4 linked regions of the Macaca mulatta genome follow. The main gene of each other region encodes a partner of the protein of the gene in region 4 in a complex. Links are inferred from orthologs where the notes say so. Each region holds a gene or a part of one and is shown on either strand. Other genes may lie near its edges.

Region 1 (4,015 bases), about 41 Mb from region 4:
CTTGCAGTGAGCTGAGATCCGGCCGCTGCACTCCAGCCTGGGTGACAGAGCGAGACTCCGTCTTAAAAAAAAAAAAAAAAAAAATGCTGGGCACGATGGCTCACGCCTGTAATCCCAGCACTTTGGGAGGCCACGGCGGGTGGATCATGAAGTCAGGAGATCGAGACCATCCTGGCTAACACGGTGAAACCCTGTCTTTACTAAAAATACAAAAAATTAGCCCGATGTGGTGGTGGGCGCCTGTTGTCCCAGCTACTTGGGAGGCTGAGCCAGGAGAATGGCGTGAACCCGGGAGGCAGAGCTTGCCGTGAGCCAATATCGTGCCACTGCACTCCAGCCTGAGCAACAGAGCTAGACTCCGTCCAAAAAAAAAAAAAAGACACATACACCAAGGCACACAGAGAAGATATGCATGCCCACCAGAGTCCGCTGGAAGCCGAGGACCTCTTTGGGGTAGCTCCAGCCTGTGATATGGGATTATGGGATGAATGCAATGCCCACTGTTTCCCTCTCTCTGGATTCCCTGCAGGTCATAAAATCCCAGTCCAGTGTCACCCAGCCCTTCTTAACCACTTCCTCCTGTGTGACGCTTTGAGCCTCTACTTCCTCATCAGTAAAATGAGGCTGATGACATGGGCATCTATCCTCCAGGGCCAGTGTGAGCTTACAACAAGATAAGGAGTGGTGCTGAGCCCGGTGCTGGGCAGGCAGCAGGCATGTTTCTCCCAATTATGCCCTCTCACTGCCAGCTCCACCTCCATCGTCCTCACCCCCAGGGCTCAAGGTTCTGCCTTCCCCTTTCTCAGCCCTGATCCTACCCACTCCCAGGCAGCACCAGGGCCTCTCCTGAAGGGTGGAGGGGGGCAGAAGGACAGCAGGAGTGCAGAGTCAGCGGTTGAGGGATTGGGGCTATGCCAGCCTGATTAGAAGGGTTGGGGGGGCTGAGCTGGATTCACCTGTCCTTGTCTCTGATTGGCTCTTGGACACCCCTAGCCCCCAAATCCCACTAAGTAGCCCCACTAGGGACTGCACAGGTCCGTAGAGAGCCAGTTGATTGCAGGTCCTCCTGGGGCCAGAAGGGTGCCTGGGAGGCCAGGTTCTGAGGATCCCCTCCATCCAGAAGAACCACCTGCTCACTCTGTCCCTTCACCTGCTGCTGGGACCATGGGGGCTGGGGCCAGTGCTGAGGAGAAGCACTCCAGGGAGCTGGAAAAGAAGCTGAAAGAGGATGCTGAGAAGGATGCTCGAACCGTGAAGTTGCTGCTTCTGGGTAGGGGTGTGGGCCCTGGTGGGGCCACTGCCACCAGATCATTGGTCTGGAGGCAGGCAGGCAGCCCTTCTGTGAAGCAAGGGTTCCCTGGGAAGCAATATGAGCCTGCAACAGAGTAGGGCACAGGGTGGGAGCCCTGGCCATGCAAGGCCAGGCCTGACAGGTGGTGTCCTATTCCCCCAAGGCTGGACATCCCATGAAGCCCCTCTCCAGACGGCTCTGCCTCAGGTGACCCACCCTCCAGAAGTGCGTGCCAACCACACTCTTGCACGAGTGTGTGAGGCTGACTTTTCTGTGGCTGGGCTCCCACAAGCGTCATGCAGCCTTTGGTTTGGTAGGCCTGCTGGGCAGTGCTCAGAAGCCAGGGGCCTCACTGGGAGCCCGTTATTGGGCTGCTACTTTGGGAAGGGGATGGTCATAGTCCTCCTGGGGGTGGGGAGTCTCTAGAACCACCCAGATCCACAAAGAATGGCCCTCAGGTGCCAGAGGGCTGTGGCTGGTAGACCTACAAAGCAGCCAACGGGTCTGGCAGGTGCTGAGGCCCAGTGGGAGTAGATAAAGCCGTGTCCACCAGACCGTGGGCAGTGAGAAGAGACGGGGCTGATCCAGGCCTGCCTCAAGGTCACTGTCTGACCTCTCAAGGGGAAAGAGCAGCTTCAAGAGGGCCGGGCAGGCTCCACCCAAGCTCCCCAGAGTCTGGTCAACCAGCTGGAGGTGGGTGAGGGACCAAGCCAGTCCCACTTTCCCCCAAGGCAGAGAGGCTAAGCCGGAAATCTCATTAACTGTGCCCAACGCCCTCGCAGGGGCAAGCTCAGAAAGGATGTCAACTCTGCCCTCCCTGCTACCCAAAGGCGCTAATTCCCTCTGAGCCTCTTGGAGACACCCGCATCCCTTCAGGTGAAAAGCAAGGGATTTACCCGCCTCAAATAACCCAGTGCATGCGGTGCCAGAGGCTCCCACGAGGTGGCGATGGCGCTTCGGGATTTCTTCATTGCAGTCTCACAGCATAATAAAGGCTGCCTGTGTCGGTGTCTTGGGGCCTCCCAGTCCCAGAACAGTTGAGGTCGTTGATTCCCCTCGTTGGCTTCCTTTCTTCACTTTCCTGACATTTGCAAACCTTGTGCCTTCAGGGTGTCAGGACTTACTTTGGACGGGGTGGGTAGGTGTGGCTACGGGGTGGGTAGGTGTGGCTACGGGGTGGGGGCTGACGCTCAGGCCTCTTCGCTGCCGGTCCACCCTGACAACTCGGGAGGGCCCGGTCCTCCCGGCCTCCTTGGGGGAGGGGGCAGGCGGTCAGCGCAGCTCTGAGGCGCCGCTTCCCTTTCAGGTGCGGGTGAGTCCGGGAAGAGCACCATCGTCAAGCAGATGAAGTGAGTGCCCCTGCCTGTCCCGAGGTCCCTGGGGCTGGGTCCTTCCCCACTTCCCCACGAGGCTCTGACCCTGCTCGCCTCGGCCTCAGGATTATCCACCAGGACGGGTATTCGCTGGAAGAGTGCCTCGAGTTCATCGCCATCATCTACGGCAACACGTTGCAGTCCATCCTGGCCATCGTGCGCGCCATGACCACACTCAACATCCAGTACGGAGACTCTGCACGCCAGGTGTGCCAGGAGGCGGGCTGAGCGGGCCTCTGGGGACTCGAGGCTCGTGGCTGGGCCCGAGTCCCTGGCCGCCACCAGCCACTCTCACCCTGCCCCCAGGACGACGCCCGGAAGCTGATGCACATGGCAGACACCATAGAGGAGGGCACGATGCCCAAGGAGATGTCGGACATCATCCAGCGGCTGTGGAAGGACTCCGGTATCCAGGCCTGTTTTGAGCGCGCCTCGGAGTACCAGCTCAACGACTCGGCGGGCTAGTGAGCGCGTGGGCAGCGCGGGGCGCGGGGCGCAGGGGGCCCTCCACGCCTCCCCACCCACCCACGGCCCGGTCTCGCGCAGCTACCTCTCCGACCTGGAGCGCCTGGTAACCCCGGGCTACGTGCCCACCGAGCAGGATGTGCTGCGCTCGCGAGTCAAGACCACTGGCATCATCGAGACGCAGTTCTCCTTCAAGGACCTCAACTTCCGGTACGACCCACATGCCAGCCCGGGAGGTCACTGCCCCAGGCCCCGTCCTGCCCCGGGGACCCCATCCCTGCGATAGACCCTGCCCCTTCCTGGATATCCCGCCAGCAGAAAGGGTAGTAGTCCCAGCAGAGAGCTCACCGACCAGCACAGGGCGAGGGGATGCTCCCTGTTAGGCCCAGGGCGCGGGTTCAGGCCCCCGCGGCCCCGCAGGATGTTCGATGTGGGCGGGCAGCGCTCGGAGCGCAAGAAGTGGATCCACTGCTTCGAGGGCGTGACCTGCATCATCTTCATCGCGGCGCTGAGCGCCTACGACATGGTGCTGGTGGAGGACGACGAAGTGGTGGGTGCCAGGCAGGGCCTGTGTTCCAGGGGCGAGGAGGAGTTGCTGGCCCCTGGAGGCGGAGACGGCTCGCTGGGCGTGGGGAGGGCCCGGGAGGGGATGCTGGTCCCGGGCAGCCTGAGGAGGCCGGTAGGCGTTCAGCAGGCCCATCTGGGGCAGTGCGGGGCGCCCTCTGAGAGCCAGCTTAACAGGAAGCCCCACGTGCCCGGGAGCCCAGAGAGCAGGGGCTGCGGGTCGGACGCGACCCCCGGTGCCCAACAGCTGCTGCCCTCCTCAGAACCGCATGCACGAGAGCCTGCACCTGTTCAACAGTATCTGCAACCACCGCTACTTCGC
Region 2 (3,562 bases), on a different chromosome or scaffold from region 4:
CATTCCACAACAGGAAATAAAAGATGTAATATGCAAATGAATGGCAAACATCTCATTTGCATATTTTTCTTTTTTTTTTTTCTTTTTTGAGACTGAGTCTCACTCTGTTGCCCAGGCTGGAGTGCAGTGACATGCTGTTGGCTCACTGCAACCTCTGCCTCCCGAGTTCAAGCGATTCTCCTGCCTCAGCCTCCTGAGTAGCTGGGACTACAGGCGCATGCCACCATGCCCAGCTAATTTTTGTATTTTTTTTTTTTTTTTAGTAGAGACAGGGTTTCACCGTATTGGCCAGGTTCAAACTCCTGACCTCGTGATCCGCCCGCCTTGGCCTCCCAAAGTGCTGAGATTACAGGCGTGAGCCACCGCACCCGGGCTGCAGCTGGTTTTTATCATGGATGCCTTAGCTTAGCATTCTTTGGCCATTAGACCCACACCCACTTGTCTTGCAGGTGACCATCTACCTGGGGAAGAGAGACTACATAGACCATGTCAGCCAAGTCCAGCCTGTGGGTAAGTTGCTTGGAGAAAATTGTAATGCTGGTTTTCCTTTAAGTCACAGATAACTGCTCACTTTGTACTTTCAAAAATCAGCCTTGCTAATAATCTAATTAAAGAAATGCAAATTAAAACATCAGTGAGTTTCCACTGGCTGAGTGGGAACAATTTTATTTACATTTATTTTTATTTTTTTGAGATGGAGTTTCGTTCTTGTTGGCCAGGCTGGAGTGCAGTGGCACGATCTCAGCTCACTGCAACCTCTGCCTCCCAGGTTCAAGTGATTCGCCTGCCTCAGCCTCCCAAGTAGCTGGGATTACAGGCATGCATCACCACGCCCAGCTAATTTTGTATTTTTAATAGAGATGGGGTTTCACCATGTTGGTCAGGCTGGTCTCAAACTCCTGACCTCAGTTAATCCACCCGCCTCGGCCTCCCAAAGTGCTGGGATTACAGGCTTGAACCACCTGTGTCCGGCTGGAAAGAATTTTAAAGAGTGTGAAGAGACAAAGGACTCATGTCTGGAATGTATGAAGAACGCTCAGAACTCAGCAGTACAAAAAGCAAGATCCTATGAGAAAACGGGGGAAAGACAGTAAGAGACATTTCATCAAAGAAGATACACGAAGACAAGCAAGCACGTGAAAACATCTTTGGTATCATTAGCCATCGGGGAAATACAGATTAAAGCTACAGTGAGAGTGTATTATATGCCTCCCAAAATGGCTAAAATATTTTAGGTTACTGCAAAAGTAATTGCAGTTTTTTGCCATTACTTTCAATGTAGTGGCGAGATCTTGGCTCACTGCAACCTCCACCTCCCGGGCTCAAGCGATCCTCTGTCCTCAGCCTCCCAAGTAGCTGAGACTACAGGCATGTGCCACCATGCCCCGCTAATTTTTTGTCGAGATAGGGTTTTGCCATGTTACCCAGGCTGGTCTCAAACTCCTGAGCTCAAGTGATCTGCCTGCCTCAGCCTCCCAAAGTGCTGAGATTACAGGTGCGAGCCACTGCGCCCAGCAGCAGTTTCTTAAAACACGAAACATGTACTTACCATATGATCCAACAGTTGCATCCCGGGCACTTATCTCAGAGAAATGAAAACCTGTGTCCTCACAAAAACCTATACATGATTGTTCGCAGCAGTTTTATTTGTGGTAACTCCAAACCGGAAAGAACCAAAATGTTTCTCAGAACGTCCCACGTCAGCTTCCTAGTTTTGATATTGTACTGTAATTATGGCAGATGGAACCATTGGGAGAAACTGGATGAAGGATACGAGGGACGTCTCTGTACTATCTTTGCAACTTCCTGTGAATCTATAATCATTTCAACACAAAACGTTTTTTAAAGAGTGTAGAAAAACTGGCAGTTTCAGACACTGGATATGAAAATGTGCCTTGGCAAAACACTTTCTGGAAGGTTATTTGACAGCATGTTATCAAAAGCCAAATCCAATTCTATAATTTATTTTTAAAAAGTCATGGAGAGATATAAAGATGTATGTATAAGGATGTTCATCACAATATTAATCACAATGGGAAAAACTGGAAAAAACCTAGATGCCCTAACAATAGAAAGTGATTAAATAATTATGGTACATCCATTCAATGGAGTAATATGTAGCTATTAAAATGCTTAGCACACGTTTTGTCTATATGTGTGTGTATATATATACGTGTGTGTATAGATGTATGTATGTTTGAATAGATGTTTTCAATGTATAATTGAGTGAGGAAAACAGTTAGCTGAACAGTAAGTACAATAGGATCTTTTTTTTCTTAGTAAAAGCATTCATATAATTAAGTTATATATGTCTGGAAAAATTTTTTTGGGCGGGGGTGCGGGGCAGTGTCTCACTGTCACCCAGGCTGGAGTGCAGTAGCATGGTCACAGCTCACTGCAGCCTCAACCTCCCAGGTTCAAGAAATCCCCCTACCTCCGCCTCTCACGTAGCTGGGACCACAAGCAGGCACCACCATGCCTGGCCCATGCCCTGCTAACTTTTTTTCTTTTTTCTTTTTTATATGTTTTGAGAAAAGATCTGGTTCTATTACCCAGGCTGGAGTCCAGTGGCATGATCATGGCTCACTGCAGACTTGACATCCCAGACTCGAGGGATCCTCCTGCCTCAGCCTCCTGAGTAGTTGGGACTACAGGCATGCACCACCACACCCAGCTAACTTTTTAAATTTTATGTAAAGACAGGCTCTCATTTTGTTACCCAGGCTGCTGCTAATTTTTTAAAAAGCTTTTTGTAGAGACAACGATCTCACTGTGTTGCTCAGGCTGCCCTCAAACTCCTAGGCTCGAGCAGTCCCCCTGCCTCGGCCTCCCAAAGTGCTGGGATTACAGGCATGAGCCACCACACCTGGCCTGGAAAAATAAAATAAAAGTCTGCACCGAGAGCTTCACAATAGGTATTTTTAGGTAGTAGGAATTTGGATGACTTTTTGCCCTTAACTTTTCTTTCTTTCTTATAATGAACATGGATTACATGTGCAATTAAAAACATACATAGTTTTTAAAGTAGGTGTCTGGTTTCTTTGATCTTCTTCACCCTCACTGCTCTCTCCCTCTTTTGCCTTAGATGGTGTCGTGTTGGTTGATCCTGACCTCGTGAAGGGAAAGAAAGGTGAGATGAAGCCCCTTGTCTCAGGCTGGTTTCTGGGTGGAGTGGGCTGCTCTCTGGGCGGCTCTGGGAAGGGGCATTTACGTGGAAGGAGAGACAGGAAGGCAGAGGCAGTGCTCTTGCACATGGAACCAGTGCCAGGCCCGTTGACCCACACTCCCGTACTTAATTCACGTGACATAGGTCCCGTTGACACCAGAGCTCACTCGCTCAGCAAAGTCATTGTCCAGGGTGGCAGATAAGTAGATGGTAGATGGAGCCCAGGTCTGTGGCCCCCATCGGTGTGTGCTAACCCCTGTATCGTGTACTTCTGTGCTAGGGGCAAACTCAGGAGGGCGCCTGGGCTGCCTCGGACTCAGGAGGACACCAGACCTTGAATGAATGAGGGCAGAGTGAGTGGACAGTGTTTCTTCCGAGTCAGTGGCGAGGGGCAGT
Region 3 (3,562 bases), on a different chromosome or scaffold from region 4:
ACCCTCTCAAAGTGTTGAGATTATAGGCGTGAGCCACCACACCAGGTCAAAGCTCAGGTCTTTAGTGATCAGAGCATCACTGTTTCACAAACTCTGGGTCATATGAAGGATACAGTATAATTAAATAAGTAGCAATAGGCAAGGTGATTTCCAACTTCTCTGACACAAATGCATGGAATACCATATTGCATCTACAAATTTAAACATCATTAAATCATTCTCAAAGGAATTAAGAAGGTACATCTATTTTAGTGACTATTATTGCCTAAGATAAAAAGATAAAATATTTCTAATCATTAAATCCCTTAAAAGCAAAAAGCACTATAATGGAATCCAGGAGAAGTGGGTTTTGCCATGAACTCTAGCTACTTAATGTAAACCAACTAATCTTCTTTGATCCTTGTTTTTTAAATTAAGGTGGTTATACTATGTTGTCTCTTAAGAGTCAATTTAAAATCCTAGTATCTTAGAAAAAGCCAAGGTTCAGATCCATAACTGAACTACACTTAAATAAGAACATGATCACTAAGTCGTAGAGAGATAAAGAATAAAAGGATCTTGGAGTTCACCTCCTCCAAGTTCCCCTTATTTATTTATTTATTTATTTTATTATACTTTAAGTTCTAGGGTACATGTGCATAACGTGCAGGTTTGTTACATATGTATACTTGTGCCATGTTGGTGTGCTGCACCCATCAACTCGTCAGCACCCATCATAGGTGGGAACTGAACAATGAGATCACTTGGACTCGGGAAGGGGAACATCAAGTTCCCCTTTTACACATGAGTGGGAAACTGTAGCCAGAGAGATAGATTGGAGCAAACTGTGGAGAAAACTAGAAATGGGAATCAGTAAAATATCTGACTCCTCGCTTTATAAACTATCTGCCTGAAGACCATACTTAGCATTTCTTTGTTCTTTGAAGAAAAGTGACAAGAAAAAGGGGGATTTCCCCTTTCTTTACATTAAGAGCATGGAAAAGCCGCCTTTGTTTGTTTGTTTTAATTGTAATGATTTCTAGTGGTCATTTACAAGATCCAGTGGCCATTTACAAGGTCCACTAAGCTGGTTGAGGGAGTTCAAATGACTCCTCTTTCTTTATCCTTACTATGCTTTTGTTCTCTATTTTTATTGTTTCTATAGCAAGGTTTCCAAGAATTACATTGGTAGGCATTCAACTGGCATCCTCTGGAGGTAACCAGATGCCCAGCTGCTCCTGGAGGGGACATATGGAAATAGGTGAGTTCTTCTTGTGGATTCTACTCAGTTTCTCTTTTTTGGGTGGGGTCAACTATGGTTCTTTGGATAATACTATAAGTTTCATTTGCCAAATATTTTTATATATTTGCCTATAAACTTTTAAAGTAAGTGGATTTCAAATATATTTTAATATAAAATAACTATATAGCAAAATATAAAGTAGGGAGAAAATAATTTTGTTGTTACCTTACAAACAGAACTATGACTACTTGAATATACTTAATATACAACCATTTGCTTGCTCCTACAATTTGAATTCTTTTTTAAAAAACTTAGCATTATAATCATTTCCCTGTTGCCATGCAGACTTTGTAATCATCATCAAACATTAATTATAATTATTGTGTTATTATTAAACATTGTTAGTCTCTTTGAAATGACATAACTAAAAAATTAATGTAGAGATATTACAAATTGTGTTTATGCCATAAACTTTTGCATTTAGCAGTCGTAAACAATATTTTTGTTTCTTATGGTGTATTATTTGATATTAAGTTTAATCCTCAAGAAAACAACTAATGTTGAATAACAGTATACAGTAAAAAAGTTTCACTTCAAGGAAAATAAGAAATCTTACACAAAACATAATTCATGTTTCAAAATTCATGTTTCATATTTTTAAATTTTGGGTATAGATTGAACTTATTAAGTCCTCTTATTTTGTGGCTCAAACTCTATTGCAGGACATACAGCTGTCATTATTTGCATACTTACTGCACTTCTGGGATTTACATAATCAATTCCAAGGGTAGTCATGGCTTTCACAATAGCTAGGATGGATTGCAATGTATTACTGTAAATTACTGCTTTGAACTCCATGCATTCTTGCTCACTGTAACCATTCTTATGGATGATCCTATAATTTAAACATGAAAAGTTTCTGTGAGTTGAATAATTGATTGTAACACTAAAGCACATCAAAATAAGTTACTTGAATACAATTATAGTATATTTTCATTAAAAAGGAATTTTGACCATATGTATATGCTAAATCTAAACAATTTTATGCCTTTGGACTTTCATTATCATTGTCATTCATACAATATTTTCTTTCTGGGCTACCATGATAAATACAAAAGGACTTAGGATTTGTTATTTTAACATACTTTTCTGAAACGAGTAAATCATAAGCATTATACTTAGAAAGCCTGTTTTTTGTTTTTGTTTTTGTTTTTAAGAAAAAAAAATTATAGATTCTCAGGACAAAGATATATTCACAGTTTTGAAACTTGGCCTTGTGTCCACAACCTGATGTCTAGAGGAAGTTAAGTCATTTAGAACATTCATGACTTTTCCTATCATGCTGGAAAATAGGAGTGCCTTCTTTCTATTTACAGCATCAACAAAGGCATCTTTTTTAGTACAGGTAATTGCCCTGTGTTAAATCTCTTGTCAGTTCTCCATCTGTGTACGTGCCACTGAGTTATAAAAGTTGAAATGCCTGACATTTTATTTGGCTGAACTCTTCTCTACCTTCCACTCATTCAGCCAAACTCAAGATTTTACTAGAAGTTTTGGAATAATAGCTTAAAATAGATTTACCTATCAAAAGCTAAAGTCATTACATGTGCCAGTTACGTATTTTTGCATCTTTATTGTAGAATTGTTTTTGTTCCTTTCTATAATGTTTTAATTGTCTTGAAGTGCTTTGTATTCGTTAGGCGTCTTTTTGGATGTCATATTACTAAATATTTATATTGTGTCTACACGTATAAAGGCTTTAGCATAGAGGGGAAAAGAGCACAAATGCCTCTTTAATGTCTTTGAAGATATTAGAACCTTCATATACAAGAAATCTCAACTGAAAGAAGTAAAAGCAGGGCCTATATTTGTTATTTGTTGTTTTTTTTATTTGATTACAAATCATTGCTGAACTTCTATGTTAAACATGGTCATGTCTATCTTGCTGCATTGAATCATTAAATAACTTAAGTAAATAAAGTAGACAAAGACTGTAGAAAAAATGCAGTAAAATGTCTTTATGGGTAGATCAAGAATAAGTTTACTAAAGAAATCCCAGTTTTCTGTCAAATCGAACTTGGAAAATTATTTTAATTATTAAAATGGCAACTGTGAATAAACGTGGGGTACTTAGGTGTTCTTCATGAAACAAGTTCTGACTGCTATCAGAAGTGAAGAAACATTTATCACAAAGAAAAATTATAAAAACAGATGTTAAAATGTCCAGTTGAAGTGGGACTTTAAACAACATCATTTTTCTAGGAGCTGCATATATCAATTTCTGTGAGACAGAGCACTCCAACTGCAGAGTTGGTTCCTAGGTCTGTTGAAATTCATAAG
Region 4 (4,043 bases):
GGACATGAGGCCTCAGGGGACCAGAGTCACCGGTCCTATTGTCCAAACCACTGTCCCCACTGTGTCTCATCTCAGCCCCATTTGGAGACAATCGCCTAGAGGCTGAATGGGACCCAGTTCCCAAGGGCCACAATATGGCCACCAGCACTAGGAAGGTGTGGCCTCCCCTGCTGCTGAGGCCCAAGGTTAGAGGGGGCTGCCCCCAGGGTACTAGACCAAAGAGGATTGGAATTTGCGCCTGGCTTAGTTGAGGATTAGGGGCACAGCCAAGGTGAAGGGTTGGGATGTCTTGGATTCTCTTTTACATAGAGCTCAGGAGATGGGACCAGCGCTTTTAGCAACATTAGAGTCTATTTCTTCTGCCCTACACCCCTACCCTGGGTGGGCATTTGGGCCAGGAGACATACAAGGCCAGTGCCTGGAACCAGACACTACTGGGTTTGAGTCCTGACTGGAGGACCCTACAAAGAGCCTCTTCCCTTCTGCTCAACGCCATTACCTGGACCAGCCGAAGAGGGGGGGTGCGGCGCAGGCCAGCGCCATGACCCAGGTGAAGGCAACGCCCATGATGGCATGGTTCTCCCCGAAGCGGAAGTTGCTCATGGGCTTACACACCACCACGTACCGTTCGATGGCCAGGACCACCAAGGACCACAGGGCGATTTCACCTGCAAGGCAGTCAGCAGGCTGTCAGCAGACCCCACTGCCTGTCTAAGGAGGGTGCACTCCCCCTAGATAGGAAGAGGGTAGCTAGGAAGGCAACCAGGAGTGGGAGAGGGACTTGAGGAGGCCTTGGGGAAGAAGAGAGCTTGGCACTGGGAGGAGTGGGAAGGGGCAGAGGGACCACATGCTGAGGAGGGCTGGGCAAAGAAGCTCCAGGGAATGGGGGAAGTTATTTGCTTAGTGCTCTGGGTCCATGAGGGACACGAATCAGATCAGGGGGTCACGATTGGACTGAGAACCCGGTAGGGAGTTGTGGGGTTTTTTGTTTTTAACAGAAGAATGCATCCTAATGTGGGGCAGAGTTCTTTGTTGGGCAGGAATGCAGAGGTGGCGGAAACCCAGAATTGGCAGTCCTTCATCCCTCTCTCTTCTCGGGAGATGAAACAACATGGGCAAGTGTGGCCCTCTCCTAGGAGCCATGAAGCAATGGGCAATGCTTTGCCCAGAGGAAGAAGAAGGAAATGATGAAATTGAGACATCTGCCCTGCTCACCACCCCATGAAGTTCCACAGGGAGAGTGGCCATATAGTTAATCAGCCAAACTGGGACATTCCTAACAGTGAAAGGGACAATAATTGTAAACTGGGACTGACCCTGCAGAGAACAACCATCCGTATGTGGCACACCACCTTCTGGCCAGAACTGGGTGATCTGTGATTATTTGATGTAACAAATACCCAACAATGCCAGAGATTCCCTGAGAATGGGACCGAGGAGGCAACCTGGACATGGGGGAGAGAGGGCAAGGCTGGCAGGGTGATGCTTGTGACTGGTGGTAAGCTCTCCTCGTCACCCAGCTTTGCAGTGGCTGCCGCTAACATCTCCTCCATCTCAGCGGAGATATTCCTGGATCACAGCCAGGAGACCTAGGCTGTTGTTGCTGCCTGGCCACATCCCTAAATAAGTCTATTCCCTTCTCCCTGCCTCAGTTTTCCCCTCTGTTAAGTGGGATCTGTTATCCCTGCAGCACCCCCATCTGTTTTCCTGTTAAATGCAAGACATTATTCTAAAGCAAAAAGCAGCTGCTTCAGAGGGGCTGCATGCAGTTCTCAACACCAGGAGCCTTGGAGCGCGGCATGGAGGCTAGAGGGGCACCCGGGGACGGGGGGCTGGGAGGGGAGGCAGAGGATGCCAAAGGGGACCGAGCCCATTACCCAGCACAGGGAAGACTCAATGACTGGAGAATGGAGAATCCACTTCCTACCCTGGGCTTGGGCCCCCAGAGAGGAGGGGTCTGGCTTGCCCAGCTCTCTCCTCAGTGCCCAGCCTGGGTCTGACCTGTTTTCCGAGGGAAACAGAGGCTTGGTGTTGCCAACACGGCCCAAGATGGATGCAGGCTTCAAACTCAACTCTGCCCCCATCCCATTGTGACCCCCAGCAGGGCACTTGACTTCTTTGAGCCTCAGCTCAGTTTTCTGGCTGTGAAATTAGATAAGTGCATGTTGCTCCAGGTAAGATCAAGGTAGCGTTCAGAGCCAGCCCTGCACAAACAGCAGCCCAGCTATCACCATGAATGGTGTTTGTTGATGAATATATGAGGGCCTTGGGTAACGCTGACAGGAGAGGAGAAGGGAGAAGGCCTCTCAGCCACTACCGCCAAGCCCGGGACTGTCCCAGATCCCTCCATGCTCCCGGGCTCCTGCAAGCCCCACCCGCACCCGGCTCATACCTCCCAGGGTGGCAAAGAAGCCCTCCGCATTGCATCCTGTGGGCCCGAAGACGAAGTATCCATGCAGAGAGGTGTAGAGGGTGGTGGTGAAGCCACCGAAGACCATGAAGAGGTCGGCCACGGCTAGGTTGAGCAGGATGTAGTTGAGAGGTGTGCGCAGCTTCTTGTGCTGGACAGTGACGTAGAGCGTGAGGAAGTTGATGGGGAAGCCCAGCACGATCAGCAGGAACATGTAGGCGGCCAGCATGGAGAACTGCCATGGCTCGGCCAGGTAGTACTGCGGGTACTCGAAGGGGCTGCGCACCACGCCCGTCGCGTTGGAGAAGGGCACGTAGAAGTTAGGGCCTTCCGTGCCATTCATGGCTGTGGCCCTTGTGGCTGCCCCGCGTCTGCTCCCACCCAAGAATGCTGCGAAGGCCTGAGCTCAGCCACTCAGGGCTCTGGCTGGATGACTCTGGGCTCTCACCCCCCCAGACCCTTATAAAGTGACCTCCCCCTCCTAAGCTCCTGGCTGAATCAGCATCTGGGAGATTGGGGGTGTTCATAATCATATTAATCCCGCTGCAGAAACTGAGGGCCTAATTGGCTTCCAAGAGGGGCCAAGGTGACACCAGGAGGAAGCCTGAGGTCAGGGAGGAGAGGTACTCAGGACCCTGGGAAAGGGAGAAGGCCCCTAACTTCTACATGGCTTGTCTGTCCCAAGGTCCCAGCTCAGTCTGGTGGCCTTGGTCTGAAATAGGGACCGTGGGTGTCTGTGCCATTTCCCTTGGCTTAGTACGAGCTGACTTCAGATCTTCGTCTGGACTGGACAGTGAGCTTCTGGACAGCTAGAGACTTTCTAGTTTATTCTCCCAGTCTCTCATCTCGTCACACAGCCCCTTACCTGTTCGTTCCCCCAGCCCCTTACAAAGCTGTTCATTCCCCCGCAAGTTACTTCTGGGCTCGTCCAGTCCCCACACTCCTCTGACAGGAGGAGCTCCATGAGGGCAGGGGCTGCATCCTGCAGCTTCTATTTCCAGTGCCGGACACATGGCCTGGGGACCAGGAGCCCAATCATTGTTGCATGGAATTGGAATTCACTCTCTTGTTCGTTCATTAAACATTTATTTGTGGGCCCCTGGGAATACAAAGATGGAAAGAAACAGCCCTGCCCAGAGGAGCTCAGGGGCTGAGGAGGACTCAGATATGAGAAGAAGCAGATTCCGCCCAAGGTGTCTGTGAGGTGGAGACGGGGCCTGACTGCCTGGGGGATGCAGTCCAGGAGGCCACGTTTGGGCCTTTGAGAGAAGGAGCAGTTTGCCAGGTGGCTGGGTGGGGAAGACTGAGCTGGGGGCAGTTGTGATGGGTCTTGAACGCCAGGGAGCCTGGCTTTATCCAGAGGGAAGTGGGCAGTGGCTTGGGCAGATCACTGGGGTAGAAAGGTGACTCGGATGCCCCAAAGATGGAGTGGAGGGAGGGAGGATGGAGGGGGCTTCCAGAGCAGGGGAGGGACAGAGCCCCTCAGGGGACTCCAGTCTGAAAGGGAGGCCAGCCCTGGAGGCAGCAGACAGGGCACTGTTGGGGGAGGTCTGGTCAGCTACGAGGGCCTCAAATGCCATGTGCCAGGTGGCCCCATGACGGCCGATTCCAGAACAGCAGGATGTACTGTGAG

What was found.
Region 1: the proteins of RHO (region 4) and GNAT1 are in contact, whole or in part, in a cryo-EM structure (PDB 6OYA), measured with the Bos taurus proteins. The link is inferred for Macaca mulatta from reciprocal best matches to the Homo sapiens genes RHO and GNAT1. Residues at the interface, in NP_001014890.1 of Bos taurus: Leu72, Arg135, Val138, Val139, Lys141, Ser144, Asn145, Phe146, Arg147, Val230, Ala233, Gln236, Gln237, Ser240, Thr242, Thr243, Lys245, Ala246, Glu249, Val250, Met253, Met257, Asn310, Lys311, Gln312; in NP_851365.1 of Bos taurus: Ala27, Arg28, Asp189, Leu190, Val312, Glu314, Tyr316, Asp333, Ala334, Asp337, Ile340, Lys341, Asn343, Leu344, Lys345, Asp346, Cys347, Gly348, Leu349, Phe350.
Region 2: the proteins of RHO (region 4) and SAG are in contact, whole or in part, in a crystal structure (PDB 4PXF), measured with the Bos taurus proteins. The link is inferred for Macaca mulatta from reciprocal best matches to the Homo sapiens genes RHO and SAG. Residues at the interface, in NP_001014890.1 of Bos taurus: Arg135, Val138, Val139, Lys141, Leu226, Glu249, Val250, Met253, Met309, Asn310, Lys311, Gln312; in XP_010802144.1 of Bos taurus: Asp71, Ile72, Met75, Gly76, Leu77.
Region 3: the proteins of RHO (region 4) and GNAT3 are in contact, whole or in part, in a crystal structure (PDB 4A4M), measured with the Bos taurus proteins. The link is inferred for Macaca mulatta from reciprocal best matches to the Homo sapiens genes RHO and GNAT3. Residues at the interface, in NP_001014890.1 of Bos taurus: Leu72, Arg135, Val138, Val139, Lys141, Thr229, Val230, Ala233, Thr242, Thr243, Lys245, Ala246, Glu249, Val250, Asn310, Lys311, Gln312; in NP_001103452.1 of Bos taurus: Ile344, Asn347, Leu348, Lys349, Asp350, Cys351, Gly352, Leu353, Phe354.

The regions. Positions count from the first base shown.
Region 1 is NC_133407.1:113,664,131-113,668,145, forward strand, and holds the start of GNAT1 (guanine nucleotide-binding protein G(t) subunit alpha-1), read left to right. Parts: upstream 1-1,164; coding exon 1,165-1,270; intron 1,271-2,253; exon of another isoform or gene 2,254-2,425; intron 2,426-2,597; coding exon 2,598-2,640; intron 2,641-2,729; coding exon 2,730-2,871; intron 2,872-2,970; coding exon 2,971-3,128; intron 3,129-3,210; coding exon 3,211-3,339; intron 3,340-3,549; coding exon 3,550-3,679; intron 3,680-3,956; coding exon 3,957-4,015. UniProt on the Homo sapiens protein: Functions as a signal transducer for the rod photoreceptor RHO. Required for normal RHO-mediated light perception by the retina.
Region 2 is NC_133417.1:138,593,629-138,597,190, forward strand, and holds part of SAG (S-arrestin), read left to right. Parts: intron 1-449; coding exon 450-510; intron 511-3,085; coding exon 3,086-3,130; intron 3,131-3,562. UniProt on the Homo sapiens protein: Binds to photoactivated, phosphorylated RHO and terminates RHO signaling via G-proteins by competing with G-proteins for the same binding site on RHO. May play a role in preventing light-dependent degeneration of retinal photoreceptor cells.
Region 3 is NC_133408.1:138,990,515-138,994,076, reverse strand, and holds part of GNAT3 (guanine nucleotide-binding protein G(t) subunit alpha-3), read right to left. Parts: intron 2,118-3,562; coding exon 1,976-2,117; intron 1,245-1,975; exon of another isoform or gene 1,145-1,244; intron 1-1,144. UniProt on the Homo sapiens protein: Guanine nucleotide-binding protein (G protein) alpha subunit playing a prominent role in bitter and sweet taste transduction as well as in umami (monosodium glutamate, monopotassium glutamate, and inosine monophosphate) taste transduction.
Region 4 is NC_133407.1:154,400,534-154,404,576, forward strand, and holds the start of RHO (rhodopsin), read right to left. Parts: upstream 2,849-4,043; 5' UTR 2,754-2,848; coding exon 2,393-2,753; intron 669-2,392; coding exon 500-668; intron 1-499. UniProt on the Homo sapiens protein: Photoreceptor required for image-forming vision at low light intensity. Required for photoreceptor cell viability after birth.